4 linked regions of the Tamandua tetradactyla genome follow. The protein of the gene in region 1 purifies or fractionates together with the protein of each later gene. This does not show direct contact. Links are inferred from orthologs where the notes say so. Each region holds a gene or a part of one and is shown on either strand. Other genes may lie near its edges.

Region 1 (7,094 bases):
GCCTTTACACTTAGGTTCCCTCTGCCTGAACCACTGCTCTTCCCCAGAATCCATGTAATTTTCCTGCCTACCTCCTGCAGGCTCACAATCAGATGCTAGTATCAGATGGCCTTCCCTGAACAGCTACATAAAATATTAACTCCTCTCCTTCGGTCCTGTCTCTAGCCCATTTACTGATTTTATTTTTCTCCACAGCACTGACCACCATACAATACACTGCATTTTACTTGATTGATTGCTTTCTGCCTATCTCTCTATACTAGAATGGAGACTCCATCTTTAAATTGTCTCTTGCAGTACTGCCAATTATTTGACAATTATTCTGGACAGTGGCTGACACTATTACATATTGGTCAAGTAAATGACTGCATCCAAGTATACGGAAAGTCAGGGCAATTGCTGACATAAGCGAGAACAATAATGCAGAAGGGCTTGAAGTATCCATTTAATCCTAACGGTATTAATTCTGATTTTAAAATAGCCTCCTATAATATTTAAGCTTTCATGTTATTTTAAAAAATAAGTAGAAGTTTAACTAAAAGGGAAACATTCTGATTCAGATCCATTTTAGGGTAAACTCCAACTGACCACTACCTATAGTGCGGCAATTTACAAAAGTTCTAGATTTCATATATTTCAAAGAACTATAAACTGTCCCTCTATTACTAAAGCATCCACCATTGTGGACTTCGCTTCATCAATTTCTTATTCTACTTCTCTTTGTCTTTACTTGCGTACTGATACTCCAGCAGCAAGACCCACATGGACAATGATGAGCTACATCATTGCTGCCATGCTGCCAGCTGACGTTCAAAATCCCACAGAAAGTTATGAAAGCTTTCCAATAATCAGAAACAAGTTATTTTTCTAAATATTTGCATTCCATTCCTCTGGGTTGCCTTCTGGGACCATCCCCCCTCCCTTTCTGGATGCCCTAGAAAGGAGAGAGAGAAGAAAGAGTGGAGAAAAGAAAGCACAAGAAGAGCAAGGAACATGAGAAGAACAATAGACTCAAGTTCTCTAAATCCCAAGAGATGACTTCAAACATATTAGTTTTTGATTAGTCAAATCCATAATACACAAAGACTGTATTTTCCATGCTCTGTACGTACACGTTAGCAGTCACTTGTTAAAGTATACCACACAGCAGTGCCTGTGTAGTGAAGAGTTCTGGGCTTGTCTTCTCTGGTGTCTGGGCACTGATTACTTTGTCTCCATGTTAGTTCATTACACTCAGTCTCTGCACCCTGTGGTGTCAGATGGATTGTGAATAACCTCTCAAGCCATGCCCTAGCAGAAATCTGGTGTTTCACTGCTAAAACTAGGTACAAGTGAGTCTGTCCTCATCCACAAATGCTCAACATTCAAGGAGAGAAAACAATAATGGAGAATTATCATTAAAATTAAGATTATCAAAAAGTTAAAATTTTTGTTTTGCATTTTTCTTACATTGTTGGCACGTGCCACTATTTATGACCTCTTCAGCATTAAACAGACTATAAAATAAACATCACTGTCAAGCATTACTCAACCCTCACAAAACCCAAAACAGATTATCATTATTTTTACTTTATAGATTACAGTTTAAAGAAATTAGATAACCTGGATAAGACCACAAAATAAATAATGGGGTCTAGCTTTGAAACCATCAGCTCTCTGATTCCAAAGTTTGGTCTCTTACCCATTACTCTACAATTTAATAAATGATTCACTAAAATATTAAAACAGATTTAAGCACAGGTGTTTTTTTGACTGGATCTGTGTTCATGACTGATTTTTGTAATGCTTATGTGAAATGTGAGTATCTTTTTCTACTTTTTTTACTAGAAAAAGTCTTAGTTCTTAGTATCTCTGTGAGCACAGCACCCAATGGAAATGGAACCCCTGATCTAAATTTCAAAAAGATCTCCAGTTAGTTTTCCAGCACTCTTAATTACATGATGGAAAACGCCTAAGGCCAGTTCACAACCTAATAAAACAGCATGGGTCTGTTTACTAGTGACCTCTTGAGCGGAGAGAAGACACAAGATTCCTTTTCTGAAAGTTTGAACAAAGTTGAATCAATGGATGATGGTAGGTACAGGAGCAGAGTAGGCTGCAATTCATCAGCTCTTTGAGTCAGTGCTTTGTTTCTTTTCTTCAATTAAGTTTCCCTTAGAGGCCTTTTCAGGTTACTTTGAAGGCCAACTTAGAAGGTTAAAATGAGACACTGTGTCCCTGCCACTGCCCATCTAAGAGGTAAGGACACAGACACGGGTCTACTTCCTGCTCGGCAGAGCCAGGACCAACCCCTGAAGCGTCTTTAGAGACCAGGAGGTCTCTAATCACGGGCTCTAATCACGGGCTAAAGGCGCGAGGGCTGCGGGCAGCAGTCGCTTTCTGGAACCCACCTGGCCACACCCCCGCTCTGCCAGCCTCCTAGGCTCCGCGGCTGTACGAACTCTACCAGGGGAGAAGGGCTCTCCATTCCTTCCCTCGAGACCCGAAGGCCAAGGAAGCCGAAGCTAGGGCGCGGCAGCCAGGGCCGGGTCGAGGGCACTCACCGTCGTTTTCGTCGCTGTGCCGCCGTCGCGACATGCCGCACGTCGGTGCGCTTCCGAGGCGAGACGCCGGGCAGGAGGTGCGGTAGGAACCGTCGGACACTCAGCCGGCGCGACCACAGCAGGCAGGCGCGCGGATCCGCCGGCGCGCAGGCGCACTCGCTGGCGACGGCTCCCGGAAGCGCAAGGATGAAGGTCGGCCGGGTGGGCTAGCAGACTCGGCTGCAGGAGGGCCGCAGGTGTCTGCACGGCACGCAACAGCCCCCTCTTCTGCTCGACTTTCCTTCGCCTCGCGGCTGCTTTCTTCTCCTGCCTTTCGCTCTCTGTCCTTCCGGGGCCACGCAGAAAGCGCAGCTGCTTCATTCAGGTACAGCTCGCCGGCTGCGAGCGGCCTGGGGCGGGGCAGGAATGGACGGGAGGCGGAGGTCTGGGCGGGACGCTCTTTCCCCAGCCCTGGATCCTCTCGGTGGTTTTCCCGGCGGCCCTTGCGCTAACGGCCACTGAGATTTCCGTGGCCAAGTTACGTCGTGAGCGTTTTTCCCTACGTCAACTCGCGGCTGGGGCTGTAAGGCTTGAAGGCCGTGAGCAGCGACAATTGCTAAGCGGAGACTGTTCAGTGAGCCCATACCTCGGCAAGGCTCCGGACTGGCGGGTATGTGCTCGACGTACTACCGCTTCCCGGTTTTCGCCTACGCGGGAAGCTGTGCGGAGAGGTTGGGTCAGGCTACGCGGGGTTGCCCGGGCGGAAGGCGGGCCCCACGTGCCGCCCACTGTGATAGGGGAGGCCCGCCTGCTCGGAGCACCTCGGTTGTTGTACGTTTCGCCTCCGCGCGTTAGAAGGAGCTTGTTGGCCGTTTTAGTAATTCGTTTTCAGTACTTGTGGGTTGTCAAGAGAAACTAAGTCACCATTATATTCAGAACTTGCAGATTTTTTTTAAAGAAACTGCTGGAGCAGAGAGATCTCAAACTGGAGGAGTGAGTCTCCAATGAGAGCAGGCCACAGCGACTTATAGAAACGATTAGGGAATTTCAAATGGAAAGTTAAGATTGGTTGACGGCTAAGTTTTTCATTACATAGGGTCTTACAAAGCAGAGAACAGATAGCCATTGGTTAGTATAATGTATTTGTCCATTTTTAATAGGCTGTCCTTACTGGTCCGAGATCAGCTTATCATCAGGTGTCGCAAAAATTGCAACTTTATCGGGAGTGCTATTTCCTCAGAGACCTGTACTTGAATCCGTGTCATTTTTCGGCAAGGTGATCGCTACCGGTAACTCCCAAGGCAGTCGGCTTTTAAAAATCTCATTTCGCAGCATATACTTATATATGAACACCTCCGGCCTTGGTGAGCCCCCACCTGTTTATCTGTCTCTCCTTGGTCATTTGAAATTTCACTCTCCCTACCCATTTCAGTAAATGGCACCGTCCATCTTGTTGCCCAATCCAAACATCTAGGTAGGAGTCATTCTTGAGCCCTCTTTCCTTCACTTCCTGCATAGCAATTATCCATAAACCCCACTGGTTCTACTTCCAAAGGAGATCCAGAATTGGTGCACTCCTCACTACTGCTGGCTTTTTAATCCGAGCAAGTGTCCTCTCTCACCCTAATAAGTGTAGTAACTTGATTGGCCTACTTGATTCCTTGCTTTCTTAAAATTCTACACAGCAGCCAGAAGGTTCTTAAGATGAGAATCAGACGGTGGTGATCGTTTGTCTAAAACCCACAATGACTTCTGTGGAGGACTCTGTACTGTGGCCTTCCTGTTCTACCTGCTCATCACTGCTCCATCCACTTTGTCTTCTTGTTCCTCCAGTAAATCAAGCTTGTTCTCTCTGTAGGAGTTTATATTCCCTCTTTCCCTTGCCTGAATGTTTCTTTTATTTTTATTGTAAACAACAAGCAAACATACAAACATTCTTGACATGGTTACAATCATTGGCTCACAGTATCATCTTTCGTGTGTTCATCACCATGATCATTTTTTTGAACATTTGCATCTCTCCAGCAAAAGAAATAAAAAAGAAAAACTCATACATGCTGTACCCCTTCCCCTCCCTCTCACTGACCACTAGTATTTCATTCTATTCAATTTATTTTAACTTTTGTTCCCCCTATTATTTGTATATATCTTACCATATTTTTTACTCATCTGTCCATACTGTAGATACAAGGAGCATACCTGAATGTTTCTGATCCCAGATCTTTGCTTGGCTGGCTCCTTGTCATTTAGGGCTCAGCTGAAACATCAGGTCCTTAGGTCTTCCCTAGATACCTAATTAAATTAGCTGGCCCTGCCACTAGGTCATTCATAGCTATTTTATTTCACTCAGACATTCATTCAACAAATACTGTATTTATTATTTAGCACTAGTTATGTGCTAGGTACTGTTCTAATTCTTGAGGATGCAGCAGTGAACAAAGGAAAAATCTGATATTGTCATGCCCTGTTCAGGAATGGGCAAAGGGATCAGTGCAATCAGAGAAGAGAGCAAAGAGAAGTATGGATCAGAAAGGTAGTGAGAGCATGGTAAGGACTTTGGATTTTTATCTGAGAAAGTTGAGAAGTCTTTGGGGGGGTGATCTGACATTATTAAAAAATAAGTCTGTGTATTATTAAAAAATATACTTTGGCTCCTACATAAGAAAGGCAGTCAGGCTATTGCAGTGATTCAGGCAAGACCTGGTGGTGGCTTGAGCTGGGGTGGAAGTAAAGATGGTGAGAAGTTGTTTGACCTGCTTGTATTTCCAGAGCAGAGCTCAGGAAATATGCCAAAGTTGTTGCCTGATGTATTAGTTTGTTAAAGCTGCCAGAATGGATTATACCAGAAATGCAATGGCTTTTAAAAAGGGAAGTTATTATGTGTTTACAGTTCTGAGACTGTGAAAAAGTCCAAATTAAAGCGCCAACAAGAGGTTACTTTTATTCAAGAAATGTTGATGCCATCTGGAACACCTCTGTCAGCTGGGAAGGCACGTGGCTGGCATCTGCTGGTCCCTTGCTCCTGGGCTCTATTGCTTTCAGCCTGTTCCTTTGGGAGTTCCTCACTTGGTTTTTGTGGGCCTTCACTTAGCTCCTCTGGGACACAATTCTGGGTTCTGGCTTGCTTAGCATCTCATGGGAAGGCACATGGTGATGTCTGCTGGGCCCTGTATCTGCAAATGTCTGGGTCTTTTGGTTCTGTCAGCTCTGAAGCAACTATTCTCCAAGCATCTACATCAGTTCTATGCTTTCTCAAAAATGTTTCCTCTTTTAAAGGACTCCAGTGAACTAATCAAGACCCACCCAAAATGGGTGGAGCCATATTTCCATCTAACCTAAAGGCCACACCCACAGTTGGCCACCCCACACCTCCATGGAGATAATCTAATCAAAAGAGTTTCTGCCCTACAATATTGAATCTGTGTTAAAGGACATTGCTTTTCTGGGGTATACAACACTTTTAAGAAAGCACACCTAAGGAACAGGAAGAATGATTTATATATTTAGTTTTACTGAGGCAAGGAATACCAGAGAAGAATAGGTTTGGTTCCAGGGAGAGTACCTTAATAAGAGTTTGGTTCTGAACAGTTGTGTCTGAAAAGGCTATTAGACATCCAGTTGAAGCTATCCAGGAGAAGAGTCAGCTACATGAATTTGGAATTCAAGGGAGAAGTCCTAGTTGGAGATAGAAATTTAGAGTAATTTACTGTATAGTGTTCTAAACAATTTTTGGTTCCTTTATAGTTGTTTCCCCTTTTTTCTTTCTTTATTGAAAATTTTAGGTATTTACAAAAGTAGAAAACTTACACAATGAACCTTTATGTGCTCATTATCAAGCTTCAATAATCATCAGCTCATTAAGGCCAAGCCGGTTTCACCTATGTTCCCACCCAGCCCCCGACCTGCATCATTTTAAAGCAAATAGAGTTTAAAGCTTTCAGACTAGATTAATTCACCCAGGGAGTGAGTGTGAATAGAGCAGTTCAGCACGTAGAGGTTGGGACCATGAGGAGGATCCAGCAGAAGCATGTGGTTTTTACATGTTTGCTTATTTGTTTCCTTATTTGATGTTTCTCTCTCTTTACTAGAATAGAAGTTCCAGGGGCACAGGGGCATGGACTGTTCCAGTCAGAGCTGCCTCTTCAGCACTGTTCTTATGTCAGGCACACAATCGTGCCTCTGCAAGTAATAGTTAAAAGTATAGCTATAATTAGACTAAAGCAAGAGCTGAACGAGGATTTAGAGCAAGAGGGGGCAGGGGCAGCCCTTAAGGAGTGGTGGGAAAGGCATGTGCAAAGCATGGCTTCTGTGTGGGACTAGGTGAGGTCCAGGTGGCCAAAGCAGAGTGCCTGGCCTGAGATGACTAAGAGATGGGGCACTGGCTGATGGAGACGAATGTGTGAAAGAAGTGACATGTGAGCTAAATCTTGTTAAAGGTGTTTAGCATTTGGATAGGGAGAGAGGAGAGAAGTGAGTGTAAAGGAACAAAAAGGTGTAAGGAATCAAAGCTGGAGTGAACATGGCATCTGAGTGGGATGGTGGAGAGGCCAGGTTAAGCAGCAGGTCCTTTAT
Region 2 (7,761 bases), on another chromosome or scaffold:
ATCTATGGTGTATGCCAGAATATCATTAGTTATTATCTCTGGGTCGTGGATTTTATGGGTGATTTTATTTTGTTCTTTTTGTTATTAGTTTTTTTTTTATATCAAACATGTATTTCTGAAACTGTATTTTTTTAAAAGTTTGTCAGGTACAAAGTTTTTAAAAGTTAACCAATCAGAATGGAAATTAAACAGCCCAAGAGAGGATCTTTCTCATTTAAATGACTACCTACCCTTCATGCAAGAGCAGATTTAGGAATTAAGGTAGGCAGGGCCAAACTTTGCATTAGAAGGTAATTAATATGCTCCAAAATAGAGATAAGTAAATGCTAAAGACTCCAAGGTTCTGTAACAGTACTGCCCAATAGAAATATAATGCAAGCCATATATGCAGTTTTACATTTTCTAGTAGCCACATTTAAAAAAAACACAAAAATCTGATAAAACTAATTTTAATAATATATTTAACAATAAAAATATGATCATCTCAGTGCATCATTAATATTAAACAATTATTAATGAGCTACTTTGCATTCTTTTTTTCATACTAAGTCTTTGAAATCTAGTGTGTATTTTAGGCTTTGGTACACTTCAATTTAGGCTAGCCATATTTTAAGTGCTCGATATTGGCCATCATTTTAAACAATGTGGTTCTATATCATAGAGAATTACTGTAGCCTATACAATTTGTAAAGCAGGATTTAAAAACAAGGATGAAATACCAAGGAGTCAAATATTTATGTTGTCTAGTGAGAAAACTGTTCCCTTCTGGATAGAACTCAATATACTCTGACCTGCTTTTTTTTTTTTTTTTTTTTTCCATATGGGCAAGCACCAGGCATCGAACCCAGGTCTCCAGTTTGGCAGATGAGAACTCTGCCACTGAGCCACTGTGGCCCACCCATGACCCAGTTTTTTATTGTGAAATATACTATACATAGAGAAAAAAAGGAATAATTTTCAAAGTACTTTTTAACAAGTAATTACAGAACAGATTACAAAGTTTGGTATGGATTACCATTCCACATTTTTGGGTTTTTCCTTCTAGCTGCTCCAAAATACTGCAAGCTAAAAGAAATACCATTATAATGATTCAGCAGTCATTCTCATTTGTTAAATACTGTCTTCCTGTTATAACTCCTCCTTCCACTTGATCCTCTTCCCAATCTATAGGGGTCTTTGGGCTATGCCCATTCTAACTTTTTCATGTTGAAAAGGGGTGTCAACACTATAGAATAAGGGGATGGAATTAGTTGGTATTCTTGGAGAGGCTGGCCCCTCTGGGTTTCAGGACTTATCTGGCCTAGGAACCCTCTGGAGGTTACAGGTTTCAGGAATGTAAACTTAGTACATGAAACTTTTGTAGAGTCTCAGATAGAGCCCTAGGTGTTCTTTAGAGTTGCAGGAATGATGTTTGAGCGGGTATGGCAAGCCATTGTAATTAGCAATACTTAGCTAAAGCTTGCATAAGAGTAGCCTCCAGAATAGCCACTGACTCTATCTGAGCTCTCTTAGCCACTGATACCTTATTTCGTTACATTTATTTCTTTCCCCCTTTTAGTCCAGAAGGCATTGTTCATCCCTCCACGCCAGGGCCAGGGTCAACTCTGGGAATCATGTCCCCCGTTTTCTGAACCAATTTTACAGTTTAAATTCTCAACTCCACAGAATACGTTAATGGAAGATTAATACATTACCACCACCACCACCCCACCCCTTTTCTAAGAAAGCAATGGAGTTTCAGGTTTTCCAAAACTTCATAGCCATCTATGTATAAGTTATTACTTAAGGAGAACTATACTCATAATGGGTAAATCTCACACCCCTGTTATATATAACTTAAAAAAAAATTCATCCCCAGATGAAAACTTATCTCTGATGTTTTCTATTTATTAACAGGCAGGATGTTACATAAATCCTTCATTACTGAGGATTATTTATTCAATTAGAATTTATTAGTAATGGGAATACAAATATAATTAAGATGGTGTTCCTGCCTTCTAAACAGTCTGATAGGGAAGAATCTTTCTTTACAAGTCACCACTCAAATTTTTAAATGTGAATATTTGTTTGTAAAAGTCATCATGCTTACTTGGAAGTTGGAGTGACTTTTATACTTTAAATAAAAATAATGACTGTGGAAAGATCATCGAACACAGAAAACTGTAAAGAAAATCAGTCATAATCCTACTACCCAGAGAAAACCACTATTAACATTTTGGCATATTTCTTTCCTGTCTTTTATCTGCGCTTCTATTTTATGATCATACTGTACATACATTTTGTATATGGCAATTCTGCTTACCAATATATTGCAAGAATTTTTCCTTGTCATTAAAAACGTTTTGAAGGCATATCTAATATAAAATTATATTGAATGTGTACAGTAGTTTTCATGTAAGTCCACACTTGGACGTTTACATTTTTTCACTGTGATGAACATTTTCACTCACAAATGTTACTTCTTTAGAACAGATTATAAGAATTACTGGGTTAAGAGTCTCAACACTTAAAAAACTGGGTACATATTGCTAATGTACCTTTTTATTTCTATGGAGTTTTTCAGAAAATCATACTTTATATACAATTTTACATTTTACCACTTTGGCCTAACAAAAATATTTTTTGTATGTTATCACACACTGTGTGTAAATCTTTTAATAGGTAGATAATAATCTTTGATTAGATATAATCATGGTTTACTTAAACGTTGTCTGTTACTGGAATTTAGTCGTTTTCCAATTTTCAGTATTACATATAATGTGATTTTTGCATATTAAAGTAAACCATAGAGTAGTTATGATTTGAGCTTAGAAAGTTGGCCTTGAATTCCTTGCTCACTCCTAAATAGCTTCATGATTGGACAAGATACTTTTCTTTAAAGCTTCTTCTCTAAAAAAAAAAAAGAGTATAGTTTTGGAAGCATCTACTTGACAGGGTTGTTTTAAAATTCAATGAGATAATATATTAAGAAGCCTAATGTGATGCCTGTTAACAAAATGAAATGCTGAACAAAAACAGGATTCAAAAGCATTTAAAAAAAAAAAAAAACCACCACACTTCCTATGGTTGGCTTGATTACTTAAGTCAGGCACCAATAAACGCCCAGGTCTTGATTAGATTTAAGTCAGGCACCAATAAGCGCCCAGGTCTTGATTAGATTAAGTTCAATATAAAAGACCTTTCTTTCAGCAAAATTGCAGTGGTTTAGAGCCTGTCTTCGGTGCTCAACTTCAGTTCTCTTAGATCGCCGATGGATGACGAAGTAATTTTAAGCACTTTAAGCAACTGTGATTATGCCTCAAGTCCTCCAGATCCTGAGGTAAGGATTCGCGAGAAATAGCGGGGGTGAACGGAAGGGTGGGGTGTACTGAGAAGCTTTTAGATTTCGTTCGCTAATAGGGCTATCCTCCTCTCCCAGTCCTCCCTACCGACCACCACCCCGCACATCTCATGGGGCTTGTTTAATGTTTTGGGGGGTTCATGTGAATCCAACTCTCAAACGGTGGCTTGGTCCTACTATCAAAACATCTCTTTCAAACTTAGCACTGAGCACCTTACTCACTGCTGAAATGTAGCCACCCTGCCTTCAGGGCTGGTGTCCTGGTGTCGTTGGTCACTGGGGGCGCAGCAGTAAGGTGATACTTTGCCTGGAGAACTTCTGGAGTCTGAAGGAGGGCTTGGGGTCAGGAAAGCGCTGAAGATTCAGGGTCGCACCCAGACTCCAAATAATGCATCCTTCGGTCGATAAATATTTATTGGACTTCATATTGTGCTATTTATGGTAATAGGTGGTGGACAAACGAATATAAATAGGATCTAGCCCCTCATCTCCAGGAGCTCACAACATAAAAAACGCAAAGGGACCTAACACGTAGTGGAGGTAGGCCCCCTTGCCGTGGGAGAAGAGAAGCAGGGGAAGGCGTCCTAGTAGAGGTGATGCTAGGATTTGCTGTGGGTTTGGAGACAAGACTGTACAGAGGAACACACCTGGGTGCAGGTACACCCACGGAACAAAGAGTGAAATAACCGGGTTCTGAGGGTCTCCAAGTTCGCGGTAAGGAGTAGAGACTACCTGGCCAGCTCGGTCTGAAAGTGGTACGGGTTATAGGTATGACACCGGAAGCCGAAAGACCCGTTTGCGGCTGACACAAACCGTCCAGGCAAGAGAAGAAACAAGATAAAACCAGGGTCGTGAGTTTAGAAAGGAGGCCTAACCAGGAGGCAGAACTCTCAGGTCTTGTGACAGGTGAATGGTAATGCCAATAATCTGAATGGGAAAAGTCAGCTCTCTCCTGGACTGTTCCATTCAGAAACCGCCACTTTCAGCAATCTCCCAACTACTGGTACTTCCTGGATAGGACACTAATTTCCAGAAGCCGCCGCTGTGTTTCCGGCCTCTGCCTTCCAACAGCTCGTTTGGCAACCAATAGAATAAAGATGGCGTCTCCCTAAGAGACTAGGTCATGTGACATCGCTTTTCCCTGGCTTAAGGCTGGCAGTCCGTTTGGGGTCAAGGTTCACCTAGTAGATAGCTGGTGTCAGCCCTTCGAATTTCACAAGCCAATGACATCTGAAACCAGGACACCGCGGGGGGCGATGGGCAGATTGGTTCGTTCCACCTCTCCTAGCTAGGGGCCAATCACAGAGCGCCGTACACTCCGCGGGCCCTCCGGTGGGCGGGGGAGAAGCAGGAAGGTCGTCACAGCGTAGTGGTATTGTTACCTAAGGACTTGAGAGGAGGTGGGATGTATGTTGATTGACAGACGGATTTCTCCTACCGGAATTAGAGAATTTGGCGCAGTGCTCCGCCTTAGAGGTGGGGTCTTATTTGATTGCCAAGTAATATTCCCCAATGGACTCCTAGCTCGTGGTGACGGGCAGGCCGCTTAACTAATGAATTCTCGGCGTGGCCGGCGCAGCTCTCCAATCGCCGGGCGGCGGGCCCCAGTCTGAGCGGCGATGGCGGCGGCGGCGGCGGCGGCAGCAGCAGCGGTGGCTGCGGGCGGTCGGGGCTCCGGGCCGGGGCGGCGGCGCCATCTTGTGCCCGGGGCCGGTGGGGAGGCCGGGGAGGGGGCCCCGGGGGGCGCAGGGGACTACGGGAACGGCCTGGAGTCGGAGGAACTGGAGCCTGGGGAGCTGCTGCTGGAGCCCGAGCCAGAGCCCGAGCCCGAAGAGGAGCCGCCCCGGCCCCGCGCCCCCCCGGGAGCTCCGGGCCCTGGGCCTGGCTCGGGAGCCCCCGGCAGCCAGGAGGAGGAGGAGGAGCCGGGACTGGTCGAGGGTGACCCGGGGGACGGCGCCATTGAGGACCCGGTGAGGGAAGGAGGGCGAGAGACCGAACCGGCGACCGGCCGGCCGGGTCATGGGAGGCCCAGAGCTCGGGCGAGTGGGAGGCAGGCGGGGGATGGGGGTGGGGGTGGGCGGGGAATAATGTAGCTGGGGCCGGACCGGGGAAGGCTCCTTCACCACCGGAGGGGCCCGTCGGGGTTGATTTCGGGCGTCATGGGTGCTTAGTGTTGTTCTAGAGAAGGTAGCTTGCTTATCTTTTCATCACGACCCCGCGTGGGAAGAGGGAAATGGCGAGCAGGACTGGGGCTGAGCGCTTACCGAGAAAAGGGTTTAGCATCCTGCATTGGTTCCTCTTAAGCTGTTCATACCCCTCCCTACTTATTGTAGGAGCTGGAAGCGATCAAAGCTCGTGTCAGAGAGATGGAGGAAGAAGCTGAGAAGCTGAAGGAGCTGCAGAACGAGGTAGAGAAGCAGATGAATATGAGTCCACCTCCAGGCAATGGTGAGTAACTGGTGGCTGCACGCGGAGCCCGCGTCCTCGGGTTGAAAAGATGTGTGGAGTACGTATGGCATTAGATGCTGCGGGTCTTGGAGCTCGTTTCTGAGCAGTTGATGGGCAGAGGCCGCGGTTATTGCTAATTTATGTGTTCCTCTGACCTTTGTGAAACAGATCCTATGTTTGGTTGATGGTAGTCTTGTGCTTTTCTTTGTCTTTGTTATAAATATGTTGCCCTTTGTTCTTAGTCTATCTTTATTCTTTGTGAAGGTTGCCAGCTGGCATTTGACCTTCAAGTCAAGGGGTTCTTCCTTCACTTGGGGACCCTTTAGTTAGTAGACGTTCTAAACGATTTCTGCTTAGCTGCAGGGGTCTTCCCCTTTGTAATCTAGAAATGTAGACTCTCATCTTAATTTCTTTAACTCCTTTTCAATAGGGACTTGATGTATAGGGGTGGTGGTGGTGGGGAATTCTTGTTCTCTCTGATTTTTAATAATGTATTTATTATTAGTCACATTTTTAGTGGCCACCCACTATGTTTTTGGCCCTGTTCTGGGTAATGGGTACAGCAGGAAACAGAACAAACTCAAATCTTTGCCTTCACTGAGCTTATATTCTAATAGTGATAGAGGGTCAGAGGATAATAGATTGGTAGAGTAGAAAAGAAGTGTGTTTTCTAATTGTCTTTTTTCAAAGCTGGCCCAGTGATCATGTCCATTGAAGAGAAGATGGAGGCTGATGCTCGTTCCATTTATGTTGGCAATGTATGTAGTAGGGCCCTGATTGTAGTTGGGGGAAGCTCTAATTTGTGGGAGTTACTTAATGGAAGTCTTTTGAAAAGAACATCTCCAGGATAGGAGTGGGAGGAAGTAAAAATTAATGATCAGCAAGGCCTCTGGGGTTGAGAGAAAAGGGGATTAGTTCCTTAGAGAAACAGATTTGATGTGCCTCGCTGTAAATGTATGGCCCCAACCAGAAGGTGAGGCAGTATGCTGAGATGGGAGTTGGAGTTTGCCCAGTTCCTGTGAAACATTGTCTCTCTCCTGTCCCCCTCAGGTGGACTATGGTGCGACAGCAGAAGAGCTGGAAGCACACTTTCATGGCTGTGGTTCAGTCAACCGTGTTACTATACTTTGTGACAAATTCAGTGGCCATCCCAAAGGGTAAGTAGGGAAGTAAATTGAGATCATTTTAATCATAGTTTAAAAATAAATATTGAACAATAAGTCACTTGCTGTTAAAACCTAGGGGTCTTTGTCCTAAATGTAAACACATTGAGTCCAAATAAAGTACATCAGCAAGTTGAATTTGACGTACAAGTTGCTGTTTGCAGCTTCAGAGAGCTAAAGTGACAATAACCTTTTCAGGTTTGCGTATATAGAGTTCTCAGACAAAGAGTCAGTGAGGACCTCCCTGGCCTTAGATGAGTCCCTTTTTAGAGGAAGACAAATCAAGGTAAGCACCATGCATAATGCTGTTCAGGTTGCGGAAACTTGGCACGTTGTCTGACCTGGGCTTTTTGTGGTACATCCCACAACGACAGGTGATCCCCAAACGAACCAACAGACCAGGCATCAGCACAACAGACCGGGGTTTCCCCAGAGCCCGCTACCGTGCCCGGACCACCAACTACAACAGTTCCCGTTCTCGGTTCTACAGTGGTTTCAACAGCAGGCCCCGGGGTCGTGTCTACAGGTCAGGATAGATGGGCTGCTCCTCTCTCCCCGCCTCCCATGAGCCCTGTATGCTTCCGTCTCTCATGATAGGAGGAGCTTCCCTCCCTTCCCCTCCCGTTGGTCTCCAGGGCCTTGGTCTCCTGCCTATGCAGAGTGAGGAAGGTAGTTGAAGGGAAGGCCAGTCTCGTCTTTTCTGGAGCAGGAATTGTGGTATTAAGGGCTGGATCTCTCCACTCTGTTGCGAGAGATGCTTTCTCCCCCTAGACTTTTCTGGTTTTTTTGAAAGTGGGTAGAATGAGGGGC
Region 3 (7,911 bases), about 190 Mb from region 1:
CTTCTCAAGTACAGGGACTGGAATCACTAGGGCTGATTCCACTGAGGTGCGGTTTTAGGACCTACTCCAGCCCCAGCAGCATGTGTCATAAAGGCAGTGCTGCCAGATAAGGCTCAGAGCAGTTCCGCATATTATTGTCTTCTCTGACTGCAGTTGGGAGGTGAGGGTGTGCGGGTTAGGGAGAAAAGTACCTGATCCCAACTGTACCCTCTCCTTTTCAGACAAACTGTTGGGATCTACTCTTACTCCTTTTTTAAAGGCAAAAACGGATCCTGGACTGTCCAAAATATCTATTAGCCAATCTGAAACAGCCTGAAGGTCCCTGCTTCCCTCCACAAATGATGCCATCTGAGAAGTTTCCGATTATTCTATCCTAAGGTTAAGTCTATGGAGGCAGATCCCCACCTGCCCAGGAAAACCTTCCTCGGGATTTTTATATCACTAAGGAACCCCAAAACACAAGGGCACACCTTTCCTTCAACCCCGCCCTATTTAGGAGACTAGAAAATGTTGGGTCTGACTCTTATTCCAGCCTCCCAAAATTGGGGAAGCTGTCCAGTCAGTCTCTAGACCAGGAGAGATTTTAATCTCTGTGATCAAAGGAGAGAGTGGGGGAGGCTGGACACCCCGCTGAGGAGGGCCATTCAAAGCTGGTTCCTGTAATAAAGTGATTTAATGGATCTAAAGAGGCCAATTCCCTTCTTTCTCCCACAATTACTTCCTGTGGGTTATCATTCACATATGTAAATGAGGGAGGGGGGCAAAGCCACCAGCTTCAAGCTAGATGTCTGAAGTGGGGTGGGGGGGAAGGCAAGCATCCTGCAGTAGGCCATATTGGCAGATGGCCCACAGTCCCAATGTCAACCGATGGGTCCCCAATTCCCTACATCCTCCTCCCCTGGTACCCCATTCATCCTCAACTTCCTTGCTGCGGGACAAGCTTGAGGACTTCCCTGTCTCCAACTACCAGTCCACCCTGCATCGCCCTTCCCTGCCCTTCCCCCTCCAGGATACCCTCCCTCAGGCCCCAACCCTTAATCCCCACATCCTCCTTTCCCCTCCCCCACAGCTCCTCGGGCCAGCCTCCCTGCAGTAACCCCTCTCTGCCCGGCCTGTGTCAACCTTCAGGGCCTGGGATTAGAAATCTTCCAGGTCCATTCCCACACCTCCCAGAGTGGAAGAGACTCAGGCAACCACTTCCTTTCCATGGTTATTATGGGTGGCTAGTGTCCCAGGACCACCGGAAATGCTGCGATATCCTGGAAGGGGTGAGAGGAAAGGAGTCCAGGAAGGAGGAGGGGGACCCTGAAGCCTCTGGCTCCTTGTTGGAAGCCAGGAATTTTAGGACAGCAATCAGCGGCTGTCTAGGGCCATAAACACCAAGCAGAGACTAGGTCCCGAGGCCAGCCTCCCTCCAACCTCTGCCCTGAGACACTGAATTCCACCCCGACCGCGTCCCATTCTACTGCGTTAACTGAGCACTTGGGGTTGCAACCCAGCTCTCAGCCTGGGCCAAGAATCCAGGTCTTCTTAGGTTTTCCTTCCTGGTAGGAACTCTACAGGAAAGCTGCCAGTCCCTGAAGAGTGTGAGTGAAACCCGCCTTATGACCTTGCAAGCTCCTAAGTGGATCCTTCAGTGATCTGCCAAGCCCACCCTGACCCAGGGCTTGAGTTCTGAGTGAACACCTATGGATGGGGTGCATCAAACAGGGACCTGCCTTCTCAACCCCAGCCAGCTGGGTATGGGAATAGGTTTCCTCCTCTCCCTCTGGCCCTCCCAGTTCCATTCAGTCGTTACTGAAAGGCTCTGGGCGCCGAGTTCCTGGTTTCCGCCCAGCATGTGCTTGCTTCCCTGGCGAGTCCCCTCGCCCTCCCCCCGCCAGCAAGCACAATACAACCTTACTTTCTGCCACATGGGGTCACTTCCCTGCCCCCTTCCCAGGGGAAAGAGGTAACAGACACGTGGTGAGCTGGAGGGGTTCCCGGAAGGACGCGAGGGGAGCTCATACTTGCCGCTGCTCCCCACCCGGCCCCGGTGGCGTTATCAGGGACTCAGAAGTGGGGTGCCACGGCAAAGATGAGGGTCCGCAACGAAGAAACTTGGGTCTCCCTCAATCCAAGTGCGGAGTTCGCCCATCCACCCAGAAATATAGGACCCCCACTTCAGCGCCCCCGGCGAAGTTACCAGACTGAGTCTCACCTGATGCACAAAGACGTCCACTGGGGGGTCGAGCGCGACCCCGGCGCGGGCGGTCATCGACAGGAAACCGAACCCCATGCGCACGTTGAACCACTTACAGATGCCGGCCCCCTGCAGCAGCTGCGGCTCCTCCGCCTCCCCGGCCGCGTTCTCCGGGGCCTCCTCGGCCGCCTTGGTGCAGCCACCTGGAGATGGGGAAGGAGACCGGCCCTCAGTTGGGGAGCTCGGAATCGGAGGGCGCCCACAGAGACCCGGCAGGGAGACCCAAATGCCCAACCTACGGGTGGACATCAGGAGCCTGCAGCTACCAAGCTACCAAGACCTGTCCCGGCCGCCTCCAAGCGCTCCCCAAACCTATACCGAGACCCGTGGTGCCCCGAAAGTTTTGCTCCTCTTCTCACAACACGTTGCCCTTGGACAGACGGCTGGACAGTCCCCTCCTCTCTTCCTCCCACGCCCGCACAGCACTGGCGAGCAAGCCGCTGGGACACCAGGGTCCTAGCTCTATTCATGGCCCTTGAAGCAGAAGGCCGCGCGGACTTGGGAGTCCTTCGGGCAGCCTGGAGGGACACTTCCCCATCTTCCTTCTAGGTGGCTCCTGGGCACCCCCGCAGCCTAAGCTGTTCCCGCTAAGTCCCAAGCTCGAACCTGCAAACTGCTGGTTGGACACGGAGCCCATGGTCGTCGCCTGAGCCCGCGGCCCCGGGCCCCTGGTCGGGCGGCTGCTGGCCCCAGAGAAGTCCGGAGGCAAAGGGGTGGTTCGGAGAAGAGGCAGCTACATCTTCCCCGGCACAATAGCGGTGGGAGGGCCCACGGCTTTTCAAAGGCTCCCAAATTCTAAAAGACAATGACCCAACCCCCCGCGGGCAACCCCTTCCCCTCCCCTCCTCTTCTTTCCCCTCCCTTTCCCTCTGGCTCCGAGCAGCTCCGTCCCTCCCCCCACCGCTCTGGTCTCTGACATCTCTGGGGTGTCCCTGTTCAGAACCTAGAGGTTTGACACCCCCCTTCCCATACACATATCTGGAAATGGGGGCCGTCTTGCCCAAGAAGTCTTGGGTACCCCTCAATTTGTAGTTGTGCACTTTAAAGCCTCATTGGGGGTCCCCAAAGCAGCATACAGGTGGGGGATCTGGGGGGGGTACTTTTAAAACCACGTGACTGCTCCCACACACACTCACATACCACCCCCACCCCCTACGCAGATAATTATACATTCCAGAGAGTTGGGGGAGGGAGGTGTGAGCCTGGCAGCACTGGCCAATCAGAAACACAAACCACCTGTCAAGGGAGAAATGGATGAGCCCTCCCCCTCCCCCAGCCACTGAATGCCCCTCCCCCTCTCTTCTCCCCTCAGGCCTCTGAGCTGACCCGGCTGCTTGGCGATGACCCGCTCTCATCCCCCACCCCCGTGTGCTTAGATAGACCTGGAGTTTGGGACACTGGGAAGCCTGGGGAGGAGGAGCAGGGGGAGATTGGAGACTGGGCAGAGTTGATCTTCAGTCCTTACTCTCAAAATCTCTCTGTCTCTGACAGAAATTGAATGTGTCTCTCTCCCTGAGTTTTCCACTCAAGACTTTTTCTCAATCTCTCCCTAATAGAAGGGAGAAGGTGCTCCTAATTGATTCAACATAAAGAATCATCCCTTTTTCCCTTCCTTCCAAAATGTCTAAAGTTGGCCCCAAATAGCACTCTATGCAAGAGCAGGAGGACCCCAAAGAGGCTTGAAGTGTGCTTCTCTCTCCTCTAACTGCCTTTTCATCCTGTCCTCCCCTCCCCCAGCCCCAGCCTTTTCTGGGAGAGGGACTGGGTGGGTAGGTGGATGGAAGCACTTCCTCCTGTACTCTCACTCTTAGGTTCCCATACCCTCCCGTTTCAGAGTCACCATACTCAAGTGTATTCCCATCTCCGTAGTGGAATTGATGGAGAAACTGGAGTAGTAGTCTCCTAATCTGAAGAGGTAACCTCCCCTTCTAGGAAATAAAAGAGGGTCTGCTGGGGGGTGGCTAATGCCCCAGTCAGAGGTGGACAATGGCCCGGGGCTCAGAGTACAGCCCTGGCCCTGCCCCTTCACTTCCGGTGCTCAGTTCAAACTGGACAATGCCAGCTCTGGCCACTTCCCCTCCCCCACTGCTACAACCATTTAAAGGGACAGAGCCTGCATTCGGGGACATCCGTTTGCTCTGAATTCAATCTTCTCCAACAAATGTGGAGAATCTCTCATGTTTCTCACCTGCACCCTGTGCGTGTGTGTGTGTGTGTGTGTGTGTGTGTGAGCGCGAGTGAACGCATGTATTCTGGAGAAGGGAGATAGGTGGGAGTGGGGTGGATGGAGAGGAGGGCAAGGGGGTGTGGAGAGAGAATTTCTCTGATTCCTACAAGGAGCCTTTTTCAAGAGACTAAACCTTTAGTGTAAAGATGGGGGATGGGACTTTGGGAGAGAAAAAGGACAATTGTACACCTTAGCTACGCTGCCTAAAAATATATATATATCATTAGCAAATATTATCAACGGCCCATTCCCAAATAAGGACCCTAATTTAAATTTCCCAAGAGTTCTCCAAACGTCGGCCAAAAACCATGTTTATTTACATAACCCTCATCCGAGTCCTAGTGACACCCTTAAATATATTCACTCCCTGTACCTCTGTTCCTAAGATTCTATAGCAGGTGACTGAGGTCTGGCTAAAGAAAAGAGCGAACAATATTTCAGCACTCTTGCTTCGTTTGGTTCATTCTGAAGTGATATTCGGTTTCCCGGGCAAACGCAACCAGCTTCTCTGTCCAGGGTCCTGAGGGTTCCTGGAGCTCTGTCCGCGGTGCTGAATCCAGCCACCGCTCCCTTGGCCCCAGCTCACAGTTTTGAGAATGGCTTTTTGAGTTCCCATCTCCAAGTCTTTCCCAGAAAACCTGCTCCTCTTCAACTCCTCAGTGACACTGACATACTTGGATGAATGAAGAGGTTTTACTGAATGGCAAAGAGGACATTCCAAGCAGTACATGATTCTGTGAGAGCAGTTCGGATATCTTAAGCTCCTCTTAAGAAAAACGGGTAGAACTATTCATGTGGCTATAGGGGATGAGGAAAGAGGAGGTCATATTTTCTGAGTCAGAGAATGGCAGAGTAGAATAGAGATTAATCTTTTTCAAAGTTTTTCCTTAATTATTAACATTTTTCATAGAGCCACAGACATTGGAGTCAGATTGTCCTTATATGAATATTGGCTTCACTATTTAATCATGTGACTGGGGTAACTTCCTTAACCTCTCTATGCTTCAGTTTCCTCCTCTGTCCAACAGGAATAATCATAATATCTGGCTCTTGGAGATACTGTGAGAATGAACTTAGATCATATATGTGAAGGTGTTAGAATAGTGCCAGACACATAATAAGTTTTTAATAATAAAAATTATTACTATTATTATAGCTATTGTGCACATGCTTGTCTCTATGGTGTGGTACGCACTGACCTGTGTACTCCAGAGGACTGGGATGATTCATATCTTACTCATTTCAGCATCTTCTCCACATCTTTCCCGGTACCTAGCAGTGCCTGGCCCATGGAAGGCACCAAGAACAGTTTCCTGAATTGGTATTAATTGAAATAGTGAATGTTATTACAACAGTCATAATGCTTATTCTCCTAGGAAGTTCCTCTCAAGTCTATTCCTAGAAGAACTCTGGAGGGGGTTAGAGCCTCAGAAAGTTATATAAGTGGATGCAGAGAATGGCTTGGAATGGGACATTTGGCCCCTACATAGTTGATTCCTCATTCTCTGTGTGGAAGGTGAGGGCTCCTATCAAATCTTCTCCCTTTCTTGGTTTCTTCTCTCAGTAAAAACTTATTTGGTAGTGAGAACTTCTGGGCCAAGATGGCAGCTTAACAATATGCGCATTTTAGTTTGTCCTCCAGAACAACTATTAAATAACCAGAAACAGCACAGAACAGCTCCTGGGGCCATGTCAGTGACCGGACACACAGCGTACCCCAGTGTGGACCAGCTGGACTGGCTGCAAGCCCCCCCAGAACTGTGAGTTCCTCAAGCTGCAGCAGCCGGCGCCCCACCCCCACAGGCTGCTTCCCAGAGGGAAAGAAAAGAGACTTTACCAGCAGCAGTGGCTGAGCCCAATCAAACACCAATTGTGGCACTAATTAACAAATTCTGACTACTAAAAATAGGTCCCCAACTCAGGTGAACCTGGTCAAAGTGGAGGTCACTCATTTTAGCCCCGGCACCAAGGGGGCAGGGCTGACAGAAAAAGGAAAAAAAAAAGAAAGAAACAGAGGTTTTTGTGGCTGTGTTTCTACAAAGGCTTGACCGCCTTTGGATACAGTGCCAGTGCTCCTCAGGCTGCAACTGCCCCAGGCATAGGCAGAAGTGAGCTCTTTTGGGGGGCTTCTGGAGTTTGTGCCTTCCCCAGGGGAGGGGTGAAGCCCCACCCAGGTGGAATCCCTCCATCAAGGAATTCATACACCAGGGCTTGGTAATTTGAAGCCATTAAAACCAGCCTACAACCTCTCCTCTGTCTCCACCACACCCCCAGCAGGGAGAGTTTGTCAAAGTTAAAGGTACCACATCATGTTATGCTGGTGGGACCTGCAGGAACACAAGCACCACATACTGGGCAGGATAAGAAAAACAGAGCCCAGAGACTTCACAGGAAAGTCTTTCAACCTGCTGGGTCTTACCCTCAGGGAAAACCAATGCAGGTGACTCTTTTCTCCTGATAGGAGGCCAGTTTGGTCTGGGAAAATCTGGCTGGGGTCTATAATACCTATGTAGACCCTCCTAAGTGTGGCGGGAAAAAGGCACCATACAAGCAAGGCAAGAAACAAGAAAACAAGAACTGAAAAATTCTCCTCTGCTAAACAAAACTTAAGCTAGAAGTCCAGATAAAGCTGAACTGAATGTCAAAGAACAGACAGACAACAAATTCATCTAGCAAGAAACCCTAGGTAAAAGAAGTAAAGCAATCTCCAGAATAAACTAATTAAGGTAATTAAATGCCTAGAAGGCAGAAAAAAATAACGAATCACACTCGGAGAATTGAAGACATGGCCCAGTCAAAGGAACAAACCAACAATTCAAATGAGATACAGGAGTTGAAACAATTAATTCAGAATGTTCGAACAGACATGGAAAACCTCATCAAAAATCAAATCAATGAATTGAGGGAGGATATAAAGAAGGCAAGGAATGAACAAAAAGAAGAAATCTAAAGTCTGAAAAAACAAATCACAGACCTTATGGGAATGGAAGACACAGTAGAAGAGATGAAAAAAACAATGGAAACTTACAATGGTAGATTTCAAGAGACAGAACATAGGATTAGTGAACTGGAGGCTGGAACATCTGAAATCCGGCAAGAAAAAGAAAATATAGGGAAAAAATGGAAAAATATGAGGAGGGACTCAGGGAATTGAAAGACAATATGAAGCACATGAATATATGTGTTGTGGGTGTCCCAGAAGGAGAAGAGAAGAGAAAAAGAGGAGAAAAACTAATGGAGGAAATTATCACTGAAAATTTCCCAACTCTTATGAAAGACTTAAAATTACAGATCCAAGAAGTGCAGCGTACCCCAAAGAGAATAGATCCAAATAGACGTACTCCAAGACATTAACTAATCAGAATGTCAGAGGTCAAAGAGAAAGAGAGAATCTTGAAAGCAGCAAGAGAAAAGCAATCCATCACGTACAAGGGAAGCCCAA
Region 4 (7,553 bases), on another chromosome or scaffold:
GCCTGAGGACATCAGCCTTCGCGCCGACTGGGGTGTCCCTTGCCCCCTCTTCACCCTCCCAAGGAGTCTGGAGTGGAGGGGTCTTCCCTCAGTGCTTTCTGTAAAGTCCCCTTGGGGCAGTCCCAAAGGCCTGGGCCTCCAAGTTTCTGGGCTCATGTGGGCAAGTGAGGCAGCTGGTCCCCAGGGGCCTCTTGCACCCAGGGTGCGCTGACAAAGGCATAGCAAGTACAAGTAGGGCACATATAAGCAGAGATCGGGGGCAGGGCCCTAAGGGGATGGGCGCCAGGGACATAGAGCTATACTCCCTGGCCCCAGAGGGCCATGCTCCCTGGGCCTCCTACTCCTGTAACATGCAGCCACTGCCTGACCCCTCCTGAGCCCCTGCACCCAGAAACCTCTAGCCCTGCTCCTCTCTCCAATGTGGTGACTCACTATGTATATTCATGAGGTTTCATGTCAACACAGAGGCCACAGCCACTCTGAGAAGGCAGGGATCCGGGGCCTCCAGCAAGGCTCAGGAGTTTAATGAGTTTTATTTATTGGATAAGTGTCAACACTGTTATGAAAAAAACAACTGCAGTTCCAGTCCTCATTTCAACCCTGACACAGCCCAAGGGAATTGTCCCCAGTGGAGACTGTTGCCATCCAGCCTCACAGTAAGGAGAATCTCAGAATTCCATCACAGAGCTCAGGGGCAGTCCCCGTGCAAGGCTGAGGGGGTAGTCCAGGCACAGGGCTGGGGGAGTCCTGGCGTAAGGCTGGTAGCTGGCACTCACTCCTTGAACTTCCACTCCTGGCGGCACATAGGGCAGTGCTGCTGCACCTGCTGGGCGTTGAGCCACTTGAGGATGCAGTGCATGTGGAAGCAGTGCGAGCACTGGCCCCACACCAGTGGACAGTCGTCACCGGGCACCTTACCTGTGGAGAGCACAGCATCAGGGAACCTGGCCACAGGGCATCCTCCCTACCTAGCCACATCAGGGCCAGGCAGGTCACAGGTGCACGACAAGCAGGTGTCAGGTACACCCAGGGTTGCCAGAGCAAACTGGGCTTAGAGAAGACAGAGATCAGGAGTGTTCTCCACCAAGGTCTGAAACTAACGAGAGGTGCAAGAGACGAGCCCCTATCTCCAGGAAAGGGCCACTCAGCGGTGGTAGGAGAGAGCACTCCAGCCTGGCCTGCCACTACTGCAGCCCCTGGAGGAGGTGAGTGTTCTCTGACTCCCAGACCTGCGGCACATGTGATGTCACAGGAGGCCATGCCAATGCATGAAGACAGCAGGTGGGCGCAGCTGAGCAGTGAACTGTGCTGGGCCAGGTAGGGAAGGAGGGGCTTTGGAGCTGAAAGATCCGCTCCCTAGGCAGCAGGGATCCAAGGCACCAGAAGGGGCTGGGGTGAACATGGCCCTACCCTCCTTCTCTTTTCCGAGTCTCCGGGAGGCCCCCTGAAAGGCTTGGGGTGAATGCTGTGGTGCTCGTCCCACACGCTGACCCATCACTCTCTCCCTCCCTGGCAAGATTACAGGGGGCAGGGGACCCTGTACCAGGATCTCACATTTCCTGGCCCCAGGGGGCCTTTCAACCTTCCCAGAAAAGAAGACTTGATGTGGCCTCTTTCCAGTTAGTTTTCCCTGGGACAGAGGGAGCTGCTACCTGGGGAGGAGGTAGGGCCACTCTGTCTACCTATGGGGGGCGGTTCATCTACATGGAAGAGCCGCTTCATCTGAGTAACACAGCCACTTGCCTCGGATACTTGGTGAATAACTGAACACAAGGATGACTCACACAGCACTAGTTTAGCTTGGGCGTCAAAGGAGGTCTTTTATAAACCGGAACACCTCTGGGCAGGACTGTGTACTCCCAAGGCCCTCTGCGGTGGGGGCAAGTCTCCTACCCCTTAGTCACTCTGGGTTTATAACAGGAGCTCGATGCTGGCAAGAGGAATTGCTGCCACTTTTCACATACAGGAGTCCCCTTAGACTTGTCATGGCACAAATTGAGACCCTGTGTCCATCATCCTCCATAGCCAATGGGCCCCATTTGCAAACTACTGGGCCCACGCAAAGGTAGAGCCACTGTAGTTCTCAGAACAGCGCCCTGTCTGGATGTGCAGGGCACAGGAGCAGCCAGCTGGGGTTCAGGATGGGCCTGCAGGCTCTATACAGGTGACTGCCACCACTGTGTTTGGGGCACAGGCTGCCCAGGCCTGCTGGAGCTTGCACCAGTACCAGCACAATCCACACCCTCGGGCACCACCAGCACATTTATGAAAGCTAAGCAGCCTACTGCCTTGGAAGTTCTAAGCTCTTGCCTCTTAAACTTCCAGAATCTTTGCTGTACCCTCTGAAGGGCAATTTAAGAAAGTTTAAATATAGCTAGACCACTTTCAGTTTAGTTGTTAGACGTTTGCTGTGATGTAGACTCAATCATCTCTTGATTGATGTAATCATTTGATGTAAATAAGATGTAGTGATAAGATCTCCCTTCAGCTAGGGCAGATAGGATCAAAGATAGGATAAAGTGATATTTGTACTAAATTCATTCATCTGACTGTCATTTTAAGAAGTAAAGCTCTATGATGTTTCTGGGCTCTTGATCGGCCCCAGAACAGGTTTGGTCACTGGTGGGGCAGTGAGGAGGGACTGCCAGCCCTATACACTCCTTTTTCCTTTCAGGGTCCTTGTCCTCCCTGGCCAAAGCCCTGAGCCTTGTTTCTGCTTGCTGTTCCTTTTGATCTGACTAGCATGTAAATTTGCTGGTGTGAAAATCTGCTCTTGCCCTAAACCTAATCAAATATTTTCTCTTTACAGAATTTAATGGAACAAACCAAAAGACATTACAAAGAAAAATCCAATAAAGTAGATTCTGCAAGCAACATGCCCTGTTTTTAAGTTTAAATGAATTGAAGAATGGTGTGGGGTTGAGAAAGGATTGCTCTACATTTATACTTGAAAATACTTCAGCAAAGATGTTAAAAGACACTTCATCTTATGAGTGATTTTTCTATAAACTTACAACTTCTCTAATAAAAAAAGCCAACAAACCACATACCTACAAATGGCAAGTTTTATAATATAAGTTAAAACTCAATAAATCTGACTTTAAAATAGAAATAAAGGCTATTCATTGTTAATTCCCTGGCGTGGGTGGGAGGGGGAGGGGATAAGGGGGTGTTCCTTATGCTATTTTACCTTTTTTGCTAGTTTGTTTGAAATTTTCAAACTAAAAAGTCTTAGATCTGTTTTTGTCTTGTGTGTCTCATTGCTGAGTTTGATTACAATAAAATGCTGCACTGGCTTTTCTTATAAAACTTTTTTGCCTCGATCTTTATAAAAACATGGGCCCAAACTGCTTGCCTTTTTTTCCTGTCACCTTTTCTTCAGGAAAACAAAATTAAAACCCAGGGATTTTACCCAGGTACTTTCAGGAAACGACAATGTCAGGCAAGTAGGCTCAAACAGCACTGCCAAGAGGGAGGCACTCACAGTCGGGACAGCAGCCGTTGAAGGCCATCCGGCAGATGCCGCAGTTCTCGTCATTGGCCACCCAGAGCCAAGTGGCCACGCCGTTCCAGCACTTGATCTTCACCTTCATGGCTGTGATGGGAAGAGGGTTACCTTGGTGAATCCGGTCTACAGAGCTAGAACACTAAGGCTCCCAGGGCGTGCTTCTCCCAGCCAAGAGGGCCCGCGCTGCAGGGGAGCAGCCACCGGCCAAGGCCAAGGGGAGCGGAGTGCCTGGCTTTGCACCCGGGGTTTCTTAAAGGTTCCTTTAGCCGTGTCTTTAGGGGCCCAGAGGGAAAGAAAGCCCTGAAAAGGGGCCTCAGCTCGCGCTGGCAAGGAGGGCATCAGACTTGGGACCACGGCTTTGGAGAGTTTGGCTTTGCCTCGCGTTTACGGTAACTACGGAGACCTGGACATTCACGAAAGGGCTGCTGCTTTCCTTAACGCCCTGTAAACAGGTCACACGACACTTCCAAAAAGGACACAACTAACAAACAAATGACCGTGGCTAACTTGGGGGATGGAGCCCCAAACCGCGCACGCTGTGAGATTTTTAACTCTCGAAAAGGCACAAACAGACGCATGAGTCTGTACCCCCGACCCCCATACCTGCCCGGGGCAACCGCTAGGCCCTGAAAGACGAATCGCTGGAGACGGTCGGCCGGGCGGTCCCGTGAGAAACGGCGGGGAAACAAGCCGCGGTGCCCGCCGGGCATCCGGCTCAGGACGCGACCGAGAGCGCGGAGAGCTCGGGGGCGTCCCAGGGGCCCCGCCCCCAGCCCGAGGGACGGGCACGTCAGGCCCCGCCCCCAACGGCCCCCGCCCAACCCAGGACGCCCTCGCCCCTTCCCTAACCTAATCCTACGCAACGCGGCCCCGCCCGTCGGCCGTTGTGGCGCCAGCGTCCGCGCGGGAAGGTATAAAAACGACAGCAGCCGCAGCCCAGCACCAGTCGGGCTGAGGTCGCCGAGCTGTGCGCCTCGCTGCGCACGCGCCTCCCCGCCTCGCGCGACTAGCCGCTCGCCGTCAGCCAATCGACAGCGGCTCCGGGGCCGCGACTCCGGAAGTCCCCGCGCGGCGAAGGAAGTGACGCCCCGGCGTGCTGACGCGCGCGCTCGAACCGAGGCCCGATTCCGCGCCCGCCATGGCCGACAAAATGGATATGTCTCTGGACGACATCATTAAGCTGAACCGGAGCCAGCGAGGCGGCCGCGGCGGGGGCCGGGGCCGCGGTCGGGCCGGCTCCCAGGGCGGCCGCGGCGGCGGAGCGCAGGCCGCCGCGCGCGTGAATCGAGGCGGCGGGTCCATCCGGAACCGGCCGGCCATCGCCCGCGGCGCAGCTGGCGGCGGCGGCAGGAACCGGCCGGCGCCCTACAGCAGGGTGAGTGGACGCGAAGGCCACTGGGGTTGCGGGGCGCGGAGTGCGCTGAGGCCCGGCCCGGCAGGCCGCGGGAGCGCCGAGTGGAGAGGGCTGGCCCCGAGGCCTGGCAGCTGGTCCCGAAGCCGGCGGGTGTGGTAGACGCCGGGGAGGTCGCGCGGCCTGGGGTTGGCCCCGGGAGGCTCAGACCTTCTCAGCCTCTTTGTCTCATCCGGGCGCTGCAACCTCATGGCGGCTGGGAGCGGAGGGAACGCTGGGCGCGGCCGCACCGGCGGCGGGAAGTTAGTTGAAGGGAACCTGAGAAGTTGCGCGGAAGCGGCGGGACCGTCGGGGTCTCGGGCCGGGGCAGGGAGGGAAGGGCCAGAGGCCCCTTCTCGGCGATTTCTCCCAGGGCCCGGTTGAGGAAGGGAGCAGGATCTTGGGATGAGCCCTGAGGGCAAGGAAAAGCCCTAGAGTGAGACTCACCGGTCTTTTTCTGTTCTATGGGGTTTTCTCTTTCAGCCAAAACAGCTTCCCGATAAGTGGCAACACGATCTGTTCGACAGCGGCTTTGGAGGAGGTGCCGGCGTGGAGACCGGTGGGAAACTGCTGGTGTCAAATCTGGATTTTGGAGTATCAGACGCTGATATTCAGGTAAGAAACGGAAGCGTCTCCGTGAGTAGTTCACCTTGCACAGAACTAATCGTGTTTGTCATGGGCCCTGAATCCTGTTCCCGCCTTAGGAAAGGAAGCCCTCCCAGCTGCCCCAGAAATAGCCACTGCTTCCGTGTAAGGGGCTGCAGGAGAGACCCTGCCCAGCAGTGGTCAGGAAAAGTTGAAAGTTGAATAAGTGAATCAGTGTTTGTTAGAAGATAAGACCTTAGTGTATTAGTTTTTGCAAAAACGTGTTTTTGGTGTCTGAAAATCCCCTGCAGAGCTTTCTACTTCTGGCTGCTTGCTTTCCTTGTTTTGTTGCTGTTTTAATGATCTATTGGGAGAAGAATCCACACACACACACACACACACACACACACGTTTTAACTAACAAAGTACAGAAGTAGGGTCTTAGTGGTTTTTCAGCTCTGTTGGCCTTGAGGCTTTCTATCAAGTATGACTTGTGGCCCAGTGGTACCACCCCCACCCCGTCCCCTGCCGCTCCCCCCAGGTTTTGTCAGTGGTTTGGTTCTAAGCTCATCTTTGGTTGAAGACTGGTTTTTGTTTTTGTTTTTTGTTTTTTATTGAACCTAAAGGAATTTAAACTTGTTTTTCTGGTAAAGAAACAGTTTCTTGGGGATCAGTCTTGGAGATGGCTGGGTCAGGGTGCTGGGCCTTCCTGGGTTGCATCTCCCAGAGCATGGCCATTGGGCTTTGCCGTGGGAGGACGGAGCAAGGCCGGTGAGCACTCACAGTGTCTCAACACTTTTTTTAAGGTGGTTTCTGGCAGCCACTGGAAACCGCTTTTGGTGACTCCACTTCCCGCTGTGTGCCTGCGGCCGGAGTAGCCCCACACTCTGGGTTCCCTCTCCAACTCCCAGCCTGCCTGAGGTCAGGGCAGTTTCCATGGCAGCGCTTGACTTCAGACTTTGCGGCAGGCTTGAGTAGGAGGAGAGGGAAAGGTGAGCCAGAATCTGCCTTCGGGGGAGGGACTGGGGTTAGGGCTCCCAAATCAAGGGGCCCTTCAAGCTGTCCTGGAATGTTGGGCAGCTTCCCTTGCTGTGTGATCTAGGCCTTCGCTGTTTCTTGGAACAGTTCTTGGGAGAGTTGTAAATTTTCTTTTGTCAAAAAGGAGAGCGGCTTAATTTTGTGCCCTTCACTTGTGGGTTCCTGCAACTTCCTTTCCCTGCATCGAGTTATAGATTTCAAGTCCCTCAGTTGGCAGGAGCCCTCAGACCCAGGTGCTTTGGAAGTTGCTGTCCTACCCACCCCATCCCTTCCCCCAGTTCCCACTGCCCTGCCCCTGTGTACATGGCTGCCTCCCAGGGAAACACCCCCAAAGCAGATTTCACTTCCAGGGACCATCCCTGGGACACTAAAGGGAAACAGCTCTGCTTACGAGTCTGCTCTTTCCAATTCCCAGGAACTCTTTGCTGAATTTGGAACTCTGAAAAAGGCTGCTGTGCACTACGACCGATCTGGCCGGAGTTTAGGAACAGCAGATGTGCACTTTGAACGGAAGGCTGACGCTCTGAAGGCTATGAAACAATACAACGGTGTCCCTTTAGATGGTGAGTTTGGGTTTGGACCAGTATGGCTGCAGGGTTGTACACGAAGGGTAGAGTTTGGGGGTGGCACTTGTCCACGCAGGGATATGGCTGAGCTCTGTGGCCAGGGACGCTTTGCATTTGCCCCTTTGTCTCTTCCATTCTACTGCCTTGCATGCTGTCCCTTACATCTGGACATCCGGAAGTTCTGGGAAGCCTTCTCAGAACTGCCATAGTAAACTTCTGAATGCAGGTTGTAGTCTAGAGACAGAGGTACCATTTTCCTCGTCAGAACCCTCTTCCTCCCACCTAGACTGGGCTGAGAGCAAAGAGGAGGCCTTGGGGGGGTTGTTTTTATTGCCTTTTTGTTCCCCTACCAGTATTTCCAGGTCATTCCCTTGTTGGAAGTGTTTGACACAGCACAAGAACCCTTTGCAGTGCTTGCATGAAGACCAGGTAGGGCACCCTCAGATTAGGCATGACCTCTATCTGG

The links.
Region 2: the proteins of NCBP1 (region 1) and PABPN1 purify together in Homo sapiens (co-immunoprecipitation; 3 studies listed by BioGRID and IntAct, with this or other methods). This does not show direct contact. The link is inferred for Tamandua tetradactyla from reciprocal best matches to the Homo sapiens genes NCBP1 and PABPN1.
Region 3: the proteins of NCBP1 (region 1) and LIN28A purify together in Homo sapiens (affinity purification with mass spectrometry; 3 studies listed by BioGRID and IntAct, with this or other methods). This does not show direct contact. The link is inferred for Tamandua tetradactyla from reciprocal best matches to the Homo sapiens genes NCBP1 and LIN28A.
Region 4: the proteins of NCBP1 (region 1) and ALYREF purify together in Homo sapiens (affinity purification with western blotting; 6 studies listed by BioGRID and IntAct, with this or other methods). This does not show direct contact. The link is inferred for Tamandua tetradactyla from reciprocal best matches to the Homo sapiens genes NCBP1 and ALYREF.

The regions. Positions count from the first base shown.
Region 1 is NC_135328.1:14,734,378-14,741,471, reverse strand, and holds the start of NCBP1 (nuclear cap-binding protein subunit 1), read right to left. Parts: upstream 3,002-7,094; 5' UTR 2,578-3,001; coding exon 2,544-2,577; intron 1-2,543. UniProt on the Homo sapiens protein: Component of the cap-binding complex (CBC), which binds cotranscriptionally to the 5'-cap of pre-mRNAs and is involved in various processes such as pre-mRNA splicing, translation regulation, nonsense-mediated mRNA decay, RNA-mediated gene silencing (RNAi) by microRNAs (miRNAs) and mRNA export.
Region 2 is NC_135340.1:31,562,658-31,570,418, reverse strand, and holds the start of PABPN1 (polyadenylate-binding protein 2), read left to right. Parts: upstream 1-4,746; 5' UTR 4,747-4,959; coding exon 4,960-5,310; intron 5,311-5,421; exon of another isoform or gene 5,422-5,527; intron 5,528-5,673; coding exon 5,674-5,788; intron 5,789-6,478; coding exon 6,479-6,546; intron 6,547-6,838; coding exon 6,839-6,945; intron 6,946-7,149; coding exon 7,150-7,237; intron 7,238-7,325; coding exon 7,326-7,477; intron 7,478-7,761.
Region 3 is NC_135328.1:199,796,790-199,804,700, forward strand, and holds the start of LIN28A (protein lin-28 homolog A), read right to left. Parts: upstream 3,012-7,911; 5' UTR 2,880-3,011; coding exon 2,849-2,879; intron 2,386-2,848; coding exon 2,201-2,385; intron 1-2,200. UniProt on the Homo sapiens protein: RNA-binding protein that inhibits processing of pre-let-7 miRNAs and regulates translation of mRNAs that control developmental timing, pluripotency and metabolism.
Region 4 is NC_135332.1:74,075,168-74,082,720, reverse strand, and holds the start of ALYREF (THO complex subunit 4), read left to right. Parts: upstream 1-4,547; 5' UTR 4,548-4,646; coding exon 4,647-4,883; intron 4,884-5,381; coding exon 5,382-5,513; intron 5,514-6,936; coding exon 6,937-7,084; intron 7,085-7,553. Other genes in the region: ANAPC11 (anaphase-promoting complex subunit 11), read right to left, coding at 773-918, 3,485-3,593. UniProt on the Homo sapiens protein: Functions as an mRNA export adapter; component of the transcription/export (TREX) complex which is thought to couple mRNA transcription, processing and nuclear export, and specifically associates with spliced mRNA and not with unspliced pre-mRNA.